Chlamydomonas reinhardtii: one gene and its partner. The protein of the gene in region 2 binds, or shares a complex with, the protein of the main gene of each other region. Links are inferred from orthologs where the notes say so. Each region holds a gene or a part of one and is shown on either strand. Other genes may lie near its edges.

Region 1 (7,568 bases), on a different chromosome or scaffold from region 2:
GGGAGACCACGGCGGCGCGGCTGGGCCTGTGGGATGCTGCGAGCCGTGCCAACTGGCCACGGCGGTGCGGACGGTTGAGGACCGTTGACGGGTTGAGGGCGTGGTACCAATGCCCCGGCACCGACTGCCCTGTCCTACCCAGTGTCCCAACCGCTGCCCAAGAGCTTTCAACTTGTTGGCGAGCATTCGTTCATCCAGCTTCCCAGCCCCAGACCTCACTGCCTTGTCAATACAGTCAGCTGCCATTCACGCCGCAAGCCATCAAAGTGCATCCAATGGCATCACCATTCCGTTTTATACCACCAAGTATCCCTGATCCAACACAAGAATGTGTGGAAACCATTGTGCTGTATCACGTGCCGCGCCAATATTCAGTCACACGGCCCGCCTGGGGGACGCCGTGCCCCAGCATCCCCGCCCCCAGCTGCGCCACAGCCGTGGCCTGCCTCAGCCAGTCAGCCTCCCCCAGCCCCTGGCCTGTCCTGGCCTCCCGCTCCCCCGCACGCCTGCACTGCACGGTACACGGTACACACAAGGCCACGGCCGTGGCTCCACGCAGCAACCCCCTTGCAACTGTCGCCTCTACCTGTGCTGATTGTGCTCCGCTGGTTTGGTTCAGTTTGGGCCGGTATTTACGCCGCCGCCGCTCCCGTCACTGGTTCCCACTCGCTCGTGGGTTTCTGGGAATACGCTGCACAGTACGGGACCACGCCGACCCGCCCCTTACCCTGCCTCATCGCCCCCACTCCCCACCCCAGCTCATCCACGACGCTGCCGCCGCCCTTTCCCCCGCTCATCTGGCCCCCTCCATCGTCCGCCACCGGCCCCCGCCCTCGATCGCCCCCTTTCCCGTCACGGCCAGCTCCCTCACTCGGCAGATCCACTCGTCCGCCTCACTCGGCCGCCTGCCCCACTCTGCCGCCTCACTCTGCCGCCTCACTCCTCCGCCTCACTCGGCCGCCTCGCTCTGCCGCCTCACTCCTCCACGTAGCGGCTCTTGCGCGAGCCCGTCAGCAGCCGCTGTCAGGCGGTGCGGGTGGAGGGGGGGGACGGGTGGGCGTGGGGGTCAGCGAAGGAGGTGGAGGCGGAATGGGCGCGCAGCTGTTGCAGTTAAAGTTCCCGCCCCATGAGTCACGGGAGGCATCGTTGAAAGCCGGGGGCCGATGGTATGCTCTCCCGACACGCAAACCATGTGCCGAGGATTCAGCAGTTTCTCTAGGGTCTTTCCCCGTACATGGGAAGGGCACACTCGGGTAGCCTGCCAAACCCGTCCGCCGGCGTGCGCCCGCCCTCAAACCCATGCCTTCCCCGCCCCCCAACCAGCCCCCTCCCCCGCCCCTCCGGCACAACCCTCCAGCCCACCACTCACCGCCGCCACCCGCTGCAGCGCCTTGCCCTGTGTGAGGAAGCGGATGTAGACCGGCTGTAGCGCGCCGGTCAGCGGGCTGGCGGCTGTAGCAGGCACGGCCCGGATGCGGGGGACCAGGAAGGAGGCCACGTCGGCGGCGGGCTCGGCTGTAGCGGGGGACCGGAGGAAGGGGGAAGGGAGGAAGGGGAGGAAGGAAGGGATGGGCAGCAGAGGGCCGGGTGAGTGGCGGTCCGCGATTGGTTGGACTACTTGCACTCCATTGCGCACGCCAATACACACACCTTTACACACCGTCTTGACATCTGATGCACCTACAAAGACATCCACCCACCCCGCCCCAACCCCCCCCACACACACACGCCCCACACGCACCCAGGCAGTTGATGAAGAACTTGGCGGTGGGCGTGTTGGCGCCCGCCATGAGCAGCTCGGTGGTGACCATGCCTGGCGACAGGTTGTGCACAGCCACATTCTTGATGCCCTGCGGGGGGTGGGGGGTGGGAGGCAGAAGGTGTGTGTGTGTGTGTGTGTGTGTGTGTGTGTGTGTGTGTGTGTGTGTGTGTGTATGTGACACGAAGGTTGAAAGGAGGCTTCCGTTCATCTAGCTGCGCGTAGTATGAAACCTCCTACAGCCTCGCGTACACAGGCCCCTCCTCTCCCCTCTCCCCTCTTCCCCCTGGCTCCCCCCCTCTCTCCTCTCTCCCCTCCCTCGTTCCTCCTCCCTCCCCTCTCACCAGCATGCCCAGCTCCGCGCTCAGGCTCTTGCCCAGCTGCGCCAGCGAGCGCTTGGTGGCGCCGTACGCGGCGAAGCGCGGCGTGGCGTTGCCGTCCGCGCCCGCGCCGTCCATGTTGAAGATGTGGCTACGTGGGGGGCGAGGGGGGTTGCAAGGATGTTTGGAAAAGCGGTACAGGATGCACTGAAGACTGCAGACGAAGTCGTTACCACATGAGCGGCCGTCCGGGCGGCCGCGCTCCAGGGGGGGGGGGAGTGGGGTTGTGTGTGGGGGTGGGGGTGTGGGGGTGGGGGGGGGGGGGTAGCCATTCATGTGAACGGTTCAGGGTGTCGGGTGGGTTGTCAACTCCAGCATAAGCTAAACCAAAGCAAACTCAGCTAGCGAGTTACAGGGGGAAAGGGGTACAGGGAACCAGAAGGCAGCACGCAGGCATGGGGCATTAAGGTTGACTGGTAAATCGCTCTGCATGTGCGTGCACGGTGGGCTAACCCGCGCGGTGGAAGCTGGCCGTGCCGGCGCCCCCTCCCCCGCTGCAGCTCACCCGTGCGTGCTCTGGCTGCGCATCACGCGGATGGCCTGCGGGCAGAGTACGACACACACACGCCGTACACGTACGCATACACAGCGTGGTTTGGCAGGTCCAAAGTCCACTCGAGCCCCCGCGCCCCGTGCTTTGTCTCGCCAAAGGCGGACAGCCAAAGGGAGGGATGGCGAGCAATGCTTCTGCATCCCCTGCCTTTTCCTTCCCCCCAGCTGCCCCCACCCCTAGCCGCCCTTGTCCCGTGCCTCCCTTCACTGGGGGTGGCCCATGTAAGCCTGATGTAAGCCCTTCCCATGTACCCTGTGCTCTGCTAGTTTGGCTTCTTGAGAGTGGGCTGGTATTTACATCCCGCCCATCCCACCCCCATCCCACCCCCCCTATCCCATCCACCCCATCCCACCCTCACCCCTCACCCCCCCACCCCACCTCCTTGCAGCACAGCATGACGCCCAGCACGTTGGTGCCCACGATCTGACTCAGCTCCTCGTCGGTGGACTCGGCCATGGGGCCGTAGCGGTAGGCGTTGGTGCCGGCGTTGTTGATCCTGGCGGGCGCAGGAGGCGGGAGGTGGAGGAGGTGGGGGTGGTGGAGGTGGGAGGTGGGGTTGAGAGGGCGTGTCGGCACAGGCGACAAGAGGGAGCGCCCTCCCCTCCAGGCAGGCAGGCAGGCAGGCGCTCCAGCACAGGCTCCGGTTCTCGACCCCCCCTCCCCCCCCCTCGTCTGCCCGCCTGCCCCCAGCCCTCCCCCAGCTCTCCCCCTCAGTACCAGATGTCCACGCGCCCGAGCTCCTGCGCCGCAAAGTCCGCCAGCTGCCGCGCCTGACCGGGGGCAGACACGTCCACCGCCAGACCCTGCAGGGGTGGCGGGTTCATAAGCCACGCACCGTTCATGTTTCCAAAAACACACATACATGCACACGTACCCAACGCGTTCCCCTCCCTTGCGCAATCAATCGGACCGCATGCATCCACACTCGGGGATGTCACGACCCGACAGCCCCGCATGCAGCCCCCCTGTGTTTCGCCCCCAAGTCTCCAACCCTCAACCCCCACCTGCCCCCAGCCGCTTCCGGTTCTAGTCCCTCCGTGGACGGCTATTCCCCCCTGGGATTTTATCATTGGGCCCAGATACATAAACCCTGTTGGGCTCGGGCATAGAATCCCGCTTCGTGCTCTGTGGGCTGGCTGGGCCTTGCTTTCGTCGGGGTTAAGAACAAACTACCTCCCCACCCCAGAATTAACTAACTTCCACCCCAGTGCTCCCACCCCCATGGACGGCAAACCTCCCGCCCTCCCCCCAAAACACCACCGCCCCCTCACCTTGACTCGGTCAGCGCCGTACTGCGCTGCCAGCTCAGCCACCGTCTCAGACACCCGGTCACCTTGGGTGCGGGTGTAGAGGCGAGAGCGCGCAGGTGGTGGTGGTGGTTGTGGTGGTCAGGTCGTGGTGGTGGCGGTGGTGGTGGGCCCACATGCACCCGTGCAGGCCCTGCAATAGCAGACCAGCGGACCGCCCGAGCTCCGGAAGCCCTCGACGACCGCCTATTCTTTCTTCACTCGTGGGATGGGCGAAAGTAACCCCCTTGCGTTCTGGGTTTTGGTGTCTTTGGGACTGGAATTAACTAACCCTGTGCACCTGTCGCCTGTGCCTGTACTGCGCTAGCTCAGTTTGGTTTGGTCTCCTCCTCGCTTTTTATCGTTGGTTTGGGTTTACGTTGGGTTGGTTTCCCACCCACCCACACCCCGCCTCACCGGTACGGCTGCAGACCACCACGCGGTCGCCCGCCCGCAGGAAGTCCTCGGCCAGCGCGCGGCCGATGCCTAGGGCAGGGGGGCAGCAGGCAGGGGAGAGCGGACTGGGTCCACACAGACACACAGCGATAATGCGCATCCTCAAGCCCACCCTGACAGCCCCTTCGCCACCTCGCCACCTCTCCGCCACCTTTCCCCCACCCGTCCGCCACGTCTCCACCATCACCCTCTGCAGCCCATTCGCCACCTCGCCACCGCTCCGCCCCCCGCCACCGTCACCCTCCCCAGCGACTGGGTCGCTCTCACCCTTGGTGGAGCCGGTGATAACCACGTTGTACGGCGCCTGGGGCGCAACCGCCTTGCCGCCACCGTTACCGTTGGTGGCGGTTGCGGGGGTGCCGTTGGCCGCGGCGGTTGGCTTCTCGGTCTGCTGGGTGGCCGCGCGCGTCACCGTGACGCTGCGGCGGGCGCGGCGTGCAGCCGCGCTCCCGCCCTGCGCAAGCCCGCGACGCGCGGGCGAGGCGCGGGCAAGTCCTGCGGCGCCGAAGCTGCTGGTGCTGGCGGGGCCGCCGCGTGCGCTAGCCGCAAGTGATGCCACAGCGTTGGGGTTGATGGCGCGAGCAGTTGACGCGTGAGCCTTCGCGGCAACGCCCGAGCGCTGCGATAGCATCATGGCTAACGGTACAATTGAAATGACGACTGGGTTGGATCGCTGGGGTGGTTGGTCACGCACGTAGAAGGAACAAACAAAGAGCGAGTAGAATCCAATAGAGGGCGTTGATAAGCAGACCGAGTGCGCCAAAACGTTACCACAAGTTCGTTTATAAGCCAACGAGTTGGCACGGTGAGGCAAGAAGCCCAGATGGCTGAGAGCGAGCGAAACCTGCATGATGCAATCGAGGGCCCCTGCTGTTCTGACCTTCCCTTCCTTTCCGTAAGCGCATTTGACATACTGCTTCTCATTTCTACCCGTTGCGGGAAGAAATAGCACGGGACAATACAACAAACCGCGTCCTCGGGAGTTTGCGTTTCCCAGACCTGCGATCCTCCCGACTGTTGATATTATTCAGCATTTACATACAATAAAAGCGATTAGTGCAAACTGCGTTGCAAGAGGAAAAACTTAACTTGCGCGCAGTGGAGGGATCTGTGAGCAGCACAGCGTCTCGCGCTCACCGGCTTGGTACGTGCGGCTTGTATCTTGGGAGGGTATGTTTGTGAGGCTGGCTGGGGTGAGCCATATCGCTATCATGCGTTGCCTTCCGCTCGGACACCTCTCCGGGCTCTCCGTCCATGCCCGCCGACCCTGACACTGCGCGACCGCCCGCCCGCATTCCTCCCGCCTGCACAAACGCGCCTCTTGCAGCCTCTGTGTGCGGCACAGCTACTACACAGGCCTGCCGCGGCACCACCGCTACGGAGCAAGGCGGCTTGTAGCGCCACACCCAGCTCTTTCCTTTGTTGGCACCACGGCACAGACCCCAGGCACTGCGCATCCATCTATAGCCGCGCACAGCCACACAGCACTACAGACTCACCAGCAGCAGCAATGGCGGCCGCGGGCGTGATGGAGCGCGTGGGAGCGGCCCTGGCGGCGGGCGACTACGGCGGCGTGTGCGGGCTGCTGGATGAGGCGGAGCTAGCCGCGCTGGCGCCCTGGGGCGCAGCTGCCGAGGGAGGAGGCGGCGGACCAGCCGCGGGCGGCGGAGCAGCGGGCGTCGCTGCAGGCGCCGACGGCGGCGCTGCTGCGCCCTGGCCTGCTGCGCTGCACCTGCTGTCGCACGTGTATGCGGGCAACCTGGCGGATGCGCGGCTGCTGCTCAAGCGCATGCCCGAGGGGGTCAGGGCCGACCCGCAGGTGGGCCGGCGGTGGTGGTGGTGGGGAGGTGGTACTGGTGGTGGTGGTGAGGAGCTGTCGGAGGCGGTGTGGAGGGGCTGGGGGTTGTTGGCACACTGCCCATGAGGCGGCTGGGCGGCTGGTGGTCTGTTGGGGGCGAGCTGGGGGGGGGGCTGGGGGGCTGGCGTGTGTGCATGCCCGGAATCCGTTCTTTGCTCCACAGCACTGAACTGGCGGGCAGGGCGAGCGAGGGGAGTTGGGCGTGGAGACGGCGGCGCAACCCAGTCCCTGCCATGATGGGCGGTCGAGAGCAGCGCCAGGGGCGGACAGAGTAGGGGCACGTGTTGCCGTCTCCAGCTTTGCACCGCCATGCGACGCCGCCTGTACTTCCTGTTGGCCAAAGCTCACGCGCCCGCAGGGCCTGTCTGCCCGCTCCTGTGCATCCCAACGCCCCTGTGCCCCCCTCACACGCCCCTGCCGCCCCCCCCGTGCGTGCACACACCCGCCTCCACCCCAGGTGGCTGCCGCGGCTCGGCTGCTGCAGTGCGCCTGGCAGGGCAGCGGCGAGGGCGTGTGGCGGGCACTGCGCGGCCACCCCTGGTCGGGGCCGGCGGGGCAGCTGGTGGAGGCGCTGGCGGAGCGGCTGCGCGCGAGGCAGCTGGACCTGGTGGAGCAGGCCTACAGGTGAGGGGGGGCGGCGGTTTTGGGGGGGGAAGGGTTTTGTGGCCGAGCCCAATAGGGGGACCAAGGCGGGGGGTGTAAATACCAGCCCAAAGCAAGTTGAACTAGCGGAGCACAGGCAGAGGCGACAAATGCAAGCGGGACTTCTTATGGGAGGGGGCCGAGGTGTCGTGGAGCAGCAGGGCGAGGGGCACCGCGGGAGGGGGGGGGGTCCTTTTCGCCATCCCCATGAGGGGGCGAATTTAGAGCGCAAACTGTGGTGGTCAGGCGGCTGTGGGCGCTTGGGGCGGGCTGGGGTAGGCTCGGAAGGTGTTGAGATAGGGGGAGGGGGAGGGGTGCAAACAGGGCGGCGAGGAGGGGTGTACGACGTGTTGTTGTCCGTTAATGTGGTGGTGAAGGCGTGTGGGCGGGTTGCCGTGCTGTGCTGCTGTGGCCGCTGGGCCGCTTGTGCACGAACGCCGGTGAGCCACCATCACAATGCACCGCTCACTGCTCACGTGCACTCCACATCTCTCACACGCGCCTCCCGTCCTGCCCATCGCCCCTCCCTCCCACCGCCGCAGCCACATCAGCGCGGCCCGTCTGGCGGCCCTGTGCGGCTGCGGCGAGGCCGACGCACTGGCGGCCGCCGCCGGCCGCGGCTGGCGGCCCGCTG
Region 2 (7,511 bases):
AGACTCGCTACAACTCGCTACAAGCGGCACGGCAATGCACACACGCAAGCGTGCTTTGCAGAGCACCCCGATGTCCTGGATTGGCGCGCTGCTGATTGATCTTCCATTTATACCATGCTCATACTTCTTTTTTGCGCACACCAAGTGTATACTGTAATTTCGACAAATAGAGTGCAGTGCCAATACGACCTTCCTGCGCAACGCTCTGCAACGCCGACCTCACACTGCTCACACGATGCACCCGCGTGCACGAGCCACTCACTGTTCATGCGGTACCCGACCAACGAACAGGATCCTTTACACCGCCACAAATTATTATTGTATACCTCCACCCAACACGGCAAGCATTTACAAGACCACAATGCACGCGCCACAGGAACACGGTGCGGTATCACTCCCATCACGCCGCCGCGCCGCTGCTGCCGCTCCCACTTCCCCTGGCACTGCCGGTGCCGCTGCTGCCCACGGCCCCGAGCGCCCTGCCCAGCCACATCCACACGGCGTAGTCCAGCTGCTCCGCCACACTGCGCGGCGAGCCCTCTATGTGGCTGATGGTGATGTGGCGCCCGTCCGCCTCCGTCACATCCCAGCTGGAGTGCAGCGGCAGACCCATGCGCGCCCCCACCACCTCAGCCGGCTCCCGCAGTGGCGTCGCCACCGTGTCGAGCGTTGCCACGGGGCCGTAGCTGTAGGCGGCTGAGGCCCCGGCTGCTGTCGCTGAGGCGCCGGCGCCAGCTGTTGTGGATAACGAGGGCGCAGCCAGGGCGAGCTGCGGCTGTGGCCGGGCCTCCTGCGCCGCCACCCACGCCCGCAGCGCGCGGTTCACCGCCGCCGGTGTCTCGTGGTGCGGGCAGTGCCTGAGTTGGCAGCAGATGCACAGGAAGTTTGGTAGGGTGCACCAGCATAACACGACGACCAGGGCCCTGATTATCCATGTACGCCCCCACGCGCAGTGTCACCGGCGCTCCCACCCAGCCGTCTGCGTCCCAGCCGGTAGCGCACACCGCGGATGCACACACGTGACACGTTCTAGCTTGCAGCCCCGCACCCGCCCCGCACATTCACCCACACGGCCACGTACCCTGCGGGGCTGAGCTCCAGGTACATGGCCTCGGGCAGCCGCCGCTTGAGGCGCTGCCCCCACAGCGGCCGCACCCAGGGGTCCTCCTTACCGTACAGCAGCAGCACGGGGCAGGCCAATCGGTCCAGCAGCTCGTCGAACGACAGCTCACCCTGGGGAGAGGCAGGCAGGCAGGAGAGTAGTGGCGGGCGGGAGGGAAGTCGGTCTCAGTCGGTCTTGGTCAGTCTTAATCGGTTCTTCTCAATCGATGCTGGGGCAGATGGCAGAACGTCCCCACATCATTCACAGAAAAAGCAAAAGAGGAGGTAGCATGCGGGGCTCTCACCTTGGGGCTGAGCACGATGCTTGTGAATGCGTCCAGTGCGCCCGGGTGCTGTGTGGCCTCCACGATGCGGCTGATGAGCGGCGGGTCGGGCGGGCTCTTGTCGGCGTACACCAGCTGCAGCATGGCGCTGATGGTGGCGGGCGAGCGCAGCGTGTCCCACCTGCAAGCACAGGGAGGTGATGGAGGCGGCGGCGGTTGAGATGCATGCGGCAGGTGTGTTTGCGTGGAGGTGTCAGGTAGGACAGCTGAAGCGCAGCGCAAACAGCGCTGTGTAGATCCATGCGGTGTGCTCAGCGGCTGAACGTCTCGTGCTCACCAGTAGCGCTCAATGACGCTCTTGAGGGACTGCGGGGCAAAGGGGCAGCAGCACAGCGTATCCCTGTCAGCACACGAGGCTGCTGCACGTCACTCCACACCACACGTCGCCCATGCAACTCGCCCGCTGGAGCCTGCCTCTCTCTACCGTACTGCACAGCATCATCGCGGCATGGCAGCACTCACGTGGGGCACGGGCACGGAGCCGTCCACCGCGCGGTCCAGTGCCCGCCACAGCCAGCTGCGCGCCTGGGCCGACGCGCGGGGCGGCCGGAAGGCCCTGCGCAGTCGCATCGCCAGATGTTGTGCTGCGATATCCTGACAGTAAAAGGACTAGCTAGCAGATGAGAGACCATCGTTTCCACCGCACCGCACCACAGCCAGACACCGCGTGTGTGTGTATCAGGAACAGCACAACGCAGAAGGGGGGTCGACGCCGCGAGTGCGTGTGGCGCCAGCACCGATTGCATGGCCCAATGGCTTCAAGGAAGTGCCAGGTGTGGATTCTGTTCTCACCGCACCAGCCCGCGCCGCCATGTGCCCCCGCTGCTCACCAGAAGGGCGTTGCGTTTAGCAGCGTCAGCCCCTTGACCAGGTCGGGCCGCCGAGCGGCCAGCATTACGGCCAGGTAGCTGCAGGCGGGGCAGGGAGAAGGCAGGTTCAGGCATGCCTCTAGGGTTAGGCCATGGCAGCGACGGAACGGGGCCGCGGCCTGTCATCCCAAGCTACAGCAACCGCGACCAGAAGGACCCCTTGGCGAGACTGCGAGCACGCTGTGTGTGAGCGTGCACGCGGGCCAGCAAGAGCTGGGCACTGTGCCCCTGCCGCTCACAAGCATTCCTATACAACCTTCACCGCCCTCCGTTGCCTGTAACCCTCTTGGGTTAGTTTGGCTTTACGGTAAGTAATCCCGCCCCCTCGCAGCGCGTACTCACCCTCCGAGGGAGTTGCCGGCCACGTACGCGGGCTCTCGCACCACCTGCTCCAGGAACGCCTCCAGCTGCCGCGTCCAGGTGTCCACGCTGAAGAACAGCTTGCCCGCGGCGTCCGAGGTCGACACAGGCTGGGCCGGCCAGCTACGGCCTGTGGCGTGTGTGCATACGCGTGTGTGTGTGTGGAGTCAGCAGTACGTTGACCAATGGTTAGCACAGGACTTGGTGATTGTTCGAGTTCAAATTATGCCGACACCCACGGGGCGGACAGAGCAGGGCCGGACACAAGTGCAAGCGATTGTCCAGCACCATATAAAGCACCCCTGTGCGCACTCACCCTGCCCCAATAGGTCCACCGCCCACACGCGGTGGTCGTGCTGCAGGTCCTCCCAGTTGCGGTGGAAATGCCAGCTGCCCACTCCAAAGCCGTGGAGCATCAGAATGGGCGGGCCGGACTGTGCGCGGGGGGGGGGGGGGCGGCAAGTGGTAAATCGCAGGGTGTGGGTAGAGTGCGTTCACCATTGCAATCAGGATTGGGAGGACGAAGGGGCGGGGCCGTCCGTGAAAGATGACGGGAAGGCTGCAGGGATGGTAGTGCCTCATGACTTATGCGACTCAGTATGGTGAGTTCGTGAGTGGAGTTCCCACGCAACCGCGCACCTCTCCCTTCTGGCGGTAGCATATTTGAGAGTTGTACTCCCTGCAGCAGGCGCGACGCGGCGGTTGCCCAGGCGTCAGAGCGTGAAGGCCGCGAAGGCAAGGACCTAAACCCTGACACGAAGATTGTGCCCGCGCTGCAGAAGGCTGCTGGCGTTTGCGATGCACTGCCCCCAGGGGCATCCGGCTCCACGCAGTCAGCCGACCCCGAAAGGGGAGTTGCGCGGTGGGCGCTCATCCGCTTACCAGTCGAAGTACAGCTCCTCGCCCCACTCCCCAGTGGACATGGTGATGGGCCGCTGCACGTGCACGTCACAACGCACGGGGGGCTCAGGTCCTCTGCGCCAGGACTGTGGAGCAGTATTCCGCTTTCCCCTTGAGCTGTCAACCGTCCCCAGATATTGGTCCAAGCCGTGACTAGCTGCATCTGCTCCGCTGACGACACCCAGGAATTGTTAAAGCGACCACGCAACTGCTTATGTCCCAGGCAAGCGCTGTTTCAACGCAGCACTCGGCAGAGACTCACCTCCTCCCTCCCGCTCGTGCTCGTTCCTGCAACATCTGTATGCGCCTGTGTCTGGTTGGAGCTAGCTATTTGCAAGCGTTTTAGGAGAGATCGTGCTTGCAGTGGACGAAGAACTGAGCTGGAGCCGTGTTGCGCCAGTCGCTGGTCACAGCCCCTAGCTGATAGCGCTTGCCTCATGGTTGCATTAATATGGCATTGAATGAAAATACTAAATACCTGAGCAGCGACAGAGATTTTCGTGAGTCCCAAATGTTCCATGCCCATTGGTTTTCTTTACCATCGCCCGCTGCGCGAGTAGCTCAATGCCCAGCCTTATAAGGTGAAAACAAGCTTTACTTCTTACCTTTGACGACGCGTTCAAACGACCTGGTGTTGTGCCGCTTTCTAATAAGCTTTCCACTCGTTAGTTCATGTTGCCAACTTATCAAAACAAGATGTGTTAAATACAGCTCTTCGCGGGGCGATATCCGGTCAGCCCCGCGGTCGCGCATGTCTAGCAAAGTGAGCAAATGAGCCGGCCAACGAGCAGGCAGTCAGAAAGCCGGCCCCAGACGGTTGAGGCCCAGCCTGGTGCGGGGTCTTTGCAGACGGTCCCGTCACCAGCGCGGCAGGCATCGAAAAATGGCAGTCGCCCAGCAACGCGCGAGGCTCCAAACACCGCCAGGGGGGACGGGGAGACCCTGGGCGTCGTACCTTCATGCCCTGGGAGGCTAACGGATGCTTACGACGTCCAGAAACCCGTGGGGAAAGGCGGCTATGCGGTGGTCTACAAGGGCATCCGCCGGGACGACGGTCGCGTGGTGGCCGTGAAGAAGGTCGAGGTGAGCTACTCGCTGGGCGGCCTGGGCGTGTTTTCCATGGAAGACCTCCGACGGGAGGAGAGCGGACCAGGGGGCAGTGTTCCAGGCATAGTGCGCAGCTTCACAGGCGCTGGTTGGGCGCTGGTGTGCCGCTGGGGCCAGGCCGGGTTACGGTTACGGAACGGCAGGCGTGGGCCCCAACAGGCGGTCAATATGATGGCCGCTCGTGCAAGCGTGCCACGGACATAGCCGACAGCCGCTCAGCAGTGACAATCCACGTGCAGCAGCTGCACGGCCACCCGCACCGCTGAGCTGCGGCGGGACGCGGGCAAGGCGCAGTACGGTGGCGGCTGCTGGCCGTGGGCTTGCCTGGGGAAGCCCGCCGCCGCAGCTGGTGGCCCCAGGCGCAGCCGCACAGACGCAGCTGCGGTGGATCTGGGGATGCGCGGGTTGCAGGCGCAGCGGGCCACAAGCCAGTCGGCGAGTCGGCAGCAGCTGGCCGCGCAGCCACTGAGGGCTCCAGCCGACGGGTCTGTACACCGCGGGCCACACAGTCCGGCTGGGGTACTGTGCTGATGGATGGCAGGATGGGACGCAGTGGTCGTGGGCCGGGCCTGTAAACCCCGCCTAGCCGCTGGCAGCGCAAGCTTCCACGCGTTGTTTTGGGTTGAAGTCATCCAGGGCAAGGGCTGCAGAACAAATGTCCGCGGCGTCGGCGACGTCCTTCTGTGCCCATTTACCCACTGGGCCGTAGCTGCTTGCAAAGCTGCCAGCAGCCTCACAGCCTCATCGACCTGGGAGAGATGGCCTTGGCAGCTCATGGAAAGCAGTTGGGCGCGTGTGTATGACACCCCGCCGCCCACTCCCTTCCGATTCCCTGGTCATGTGCCATAACCTGTCCACCTTCCCATGCGCCCATCAAGCCCCATCCCATGCCTGCACCCCTCTCTCTTTCTTCAACTGCACACAGATCTTTGAGATGAGCGCCAAGAAGCGCGATCGGTGCCTGCAGGAGGTGACGCTGTTGCAGCAGCTGGACCACCCCAATATCATCCAGATGCTGGACGCCTTCATCGATGAGAACATGCTCATCATCATCTTCGAGTGGGCGCCTGCTGGCGACCTCAAGCGCCTCATCAAGAAGACAGCGGAGCAGGGCAAAACGCTGGATGAGCCAAGCATTTGGACGCTGTTCTACCAGGTGGGGGCAAGGGGCCTGAGGGTTCAGGGCGGCTGGTGCTGAGGTGGGGTTTGGGGCCAAGCCGGGCGCTCCTGCATCCGATGTGTGCTGACACTGCTCTGCCCGCCGTCCCCGCTTGCACATGCAGGTCACGGACGGTCTGCGCTACATGCACCAGCACCGCATCATGCACAGAGACATCAAGCCGGCCAATGTGCTGGTGGGCGCCAACGGGGCGCTCAAGCTGGGGGACCTGGGGCTGGGCCGACAGCTGAGCGAGCAGACGATGGAGGCGTTCTCCAAGGTGCGAGAGGCGGGAGGGCGTAAAGCATTCATGGGGTGGTTGGGCCTCAAGGAGTTGGAAAAGCTCAAAGTTGCATAAACCCACACAAGTCGGATCACTGCGTTAGGAACCTGTCAGCGCAGGCAATGCAAGTGCGCGAAGTTGGTCCGGATCAAACCTGCCGCGCCGAGCCCTCAACACCTCCGCCGAACTTCCTCATCCCTCCGCCCTCCCCCATCACCCGCCACTTGCGCAGGTGGGCACGCCCTACTACGTGTCGCCTGAGGTAGTGCGCGGCGCGGGCTACGACTGGAAGAGCGACGTGTGGTCCATGGGCTGCCTGCTGTACGAGCTGGCCTGCCTGCGCTCGCCCTTTGAGATGGAGGGCGCCAACCTGTACGACGTGTTCCAGAAGATCAGCAAGGGCGAGTATAGCCCGCTGCCGGCCGACCAGTTCAGTGCGCCGCTGCGCTCGCTGGTGGGCCGCATGCTGCAGATAGACCCCGCCAAGCGCCCCGAGCTGGAGGAGGTGCGTGCCTGCCTGAGGGCGGTTGTAGATACCAGCCCAAACTAAACCGAACCCAATGCAAAAGAGCAAGGAGGAGAGCGTGGGCGATAGAGGCAGGGCGGGGCAGCGCAGGGCAAGGCAGGGAAGGGTAGGGCAGGACGGGGTAGGGCTTCTGCGTTGGATGCGTGTAAGGTGGGGGAGGATGAAAGTGTGAATGAGGCAGTGACATTGTTGGTACAGAAACAAGCCCGTCCCCTTCATGTCTCAATCAATCACCTGTCACACATGCGCACACCTTGTGCACACAGGTGTGGACCATCACATCGGGCGCGGTGCAGTCGCAGGCGCGCACCCGCACCGACGTGCACGGCGCCGCCGCCGAGGTGTACGATCACGTGGTGCTGCTGTCCTGCGAGGTGACCAACCGCCTGCGGGGCAAGCCGCCACCGCCATCCACGCCGCCGAACGGCAAGCGGCGAGGCGACGCCGCAGCAGCAGCGGCAGCGGCTGCCGCCGCCGCCGCCGTCTCCAATGGCTCGCTGGCACCGCCGCCCACGGACACCATCCGCTCGCTACATCCGCTCTACTTTAGCGAACCTCTAGTCCCTCAGCTTCGAAGTGACTATGACGCCTTTCAGAAGCAGCAGCTGGGTGCCTTTCTGGCGGTGTTGGCTTGGCTGCTGCGGCTGAACGGCAAGCCTGACGCCGCGGCCGCGGTGGAGGCCAATCTGGAGCTGGTGCCGACGGCGCGCGCGCCCACCGTGCGCCTGGCCGCGGCGTCGCGAGCGAACGGAGCCGGCGGCGGCGGCGGGCCGGCGGCTGGGCAGCTGCACCTGTGCACCAACTTGTTGAAGGGGGCGGAGGCGGCCAAGAAGGGTGCTCAGGTGCTGGGCCTCAGCACCGA

The links.
Region 1: CHLRE_12g514700v5 (region 2) and CHLRE_14g608800v5 share a complex: the UniProt entries of both Arabidopsis thaliana proteins name them as parts of the SGR1-CCE-LHCII complex. The link is inferred for Chlamydomonas reinhardtii from reciprocal best matches to the Arabidopsis thaliana genes PPH and NOL.

What each region holds. Positions count from the first base shown.
Region 1 is NC_057017.1:173,402-180,969, forward strand, and holds CHLRE_14g608800v5 (uncharacterized protein), read right to left. Parts: upstream 5,207-7,568; 5' UTR 5,069-5,206; coding exon 4,702-5,068; intron 4,465-4,701; coding exon 4,396-4,464; intron 4,026-4,395; coding exon 3,964-4,025; intron 3,496-3,963; coding exon 3,410-3,495; intron 3,189-3,409; coding exon 3,071-3,188; intron 2,680-3,070; coding exon 2,645-2,679; intron 2,231-2,644; coding exon 2,104-2,230; intron 1,851-2,103; coding exon 1,742-1,850; intron 1,516-1,741; coding exon 1,370-1,515; intron 1,021-1,369; coding exon 976-1,020; 3' UTR 180-975; downstream 1-179. Other genes in the region: CHLRE_14g608850v5 (uncharacterized protein), read left to right, coding at 5,945-6,253, 6,750-6,916, 7,477-7,568. UniProt on the Arabidopsis thaliana protein: Required for chlorophyll b degradation. Chlorophyll b, chlorophyllide b, pheophorbide b and pheophytin b can be used as substrates. Belongs to the chlorophyll catabolic enzymes (CCEs).
Region 2 is NC_057015.1:3,709,543-3,717,053, reverse strand, and holds the start of CHLRE_12g514700v5 (uncharacterized protein), read right to left. Parts: upstream 4,003-7,511; 5' UTR 3,837-4,002; intron 3,610-3,836; 5' UTR 3,598-3,609; coding exon 3,557-3,597; intron 3,354-3,556; coding exon 3,314-3,353; intron 3,109-3,313; coding exon 2,991-3,108; intron 2,805-2,990; coding exon 2,657-2,804; intron 2,354-2,656; coding exon 2,276-2,353; intron 2,002-2,275; coding exon 1,908-2,001; intron 1,752-1,907; coding exon 1,723-1,751; intron 1,567-1,722; coding exon 1,407-1,566; intron 1,234-1,406; coding exon 1,082-1,233; intron 858-1,081; coding exon 401-857; 3' UTR 1-400. Other genes in the region: CHLRE_12g514650v5 (uncharacterized protein), read left to right, coding at 4,346-4,657, 5,607-5,837, 5,965-6,120, 6,356-6,628, 6,916-7,511. UniProt on the Arabidopsis thaliana protein: Alpha/beta hydrolase dephytylating specifically the Mg-free chlorophyll pigment (pheophytin), yielding pheophorbide. No activity on chlorophyll. Belongs to the chlorophyll catabolic enzymes (CCEs).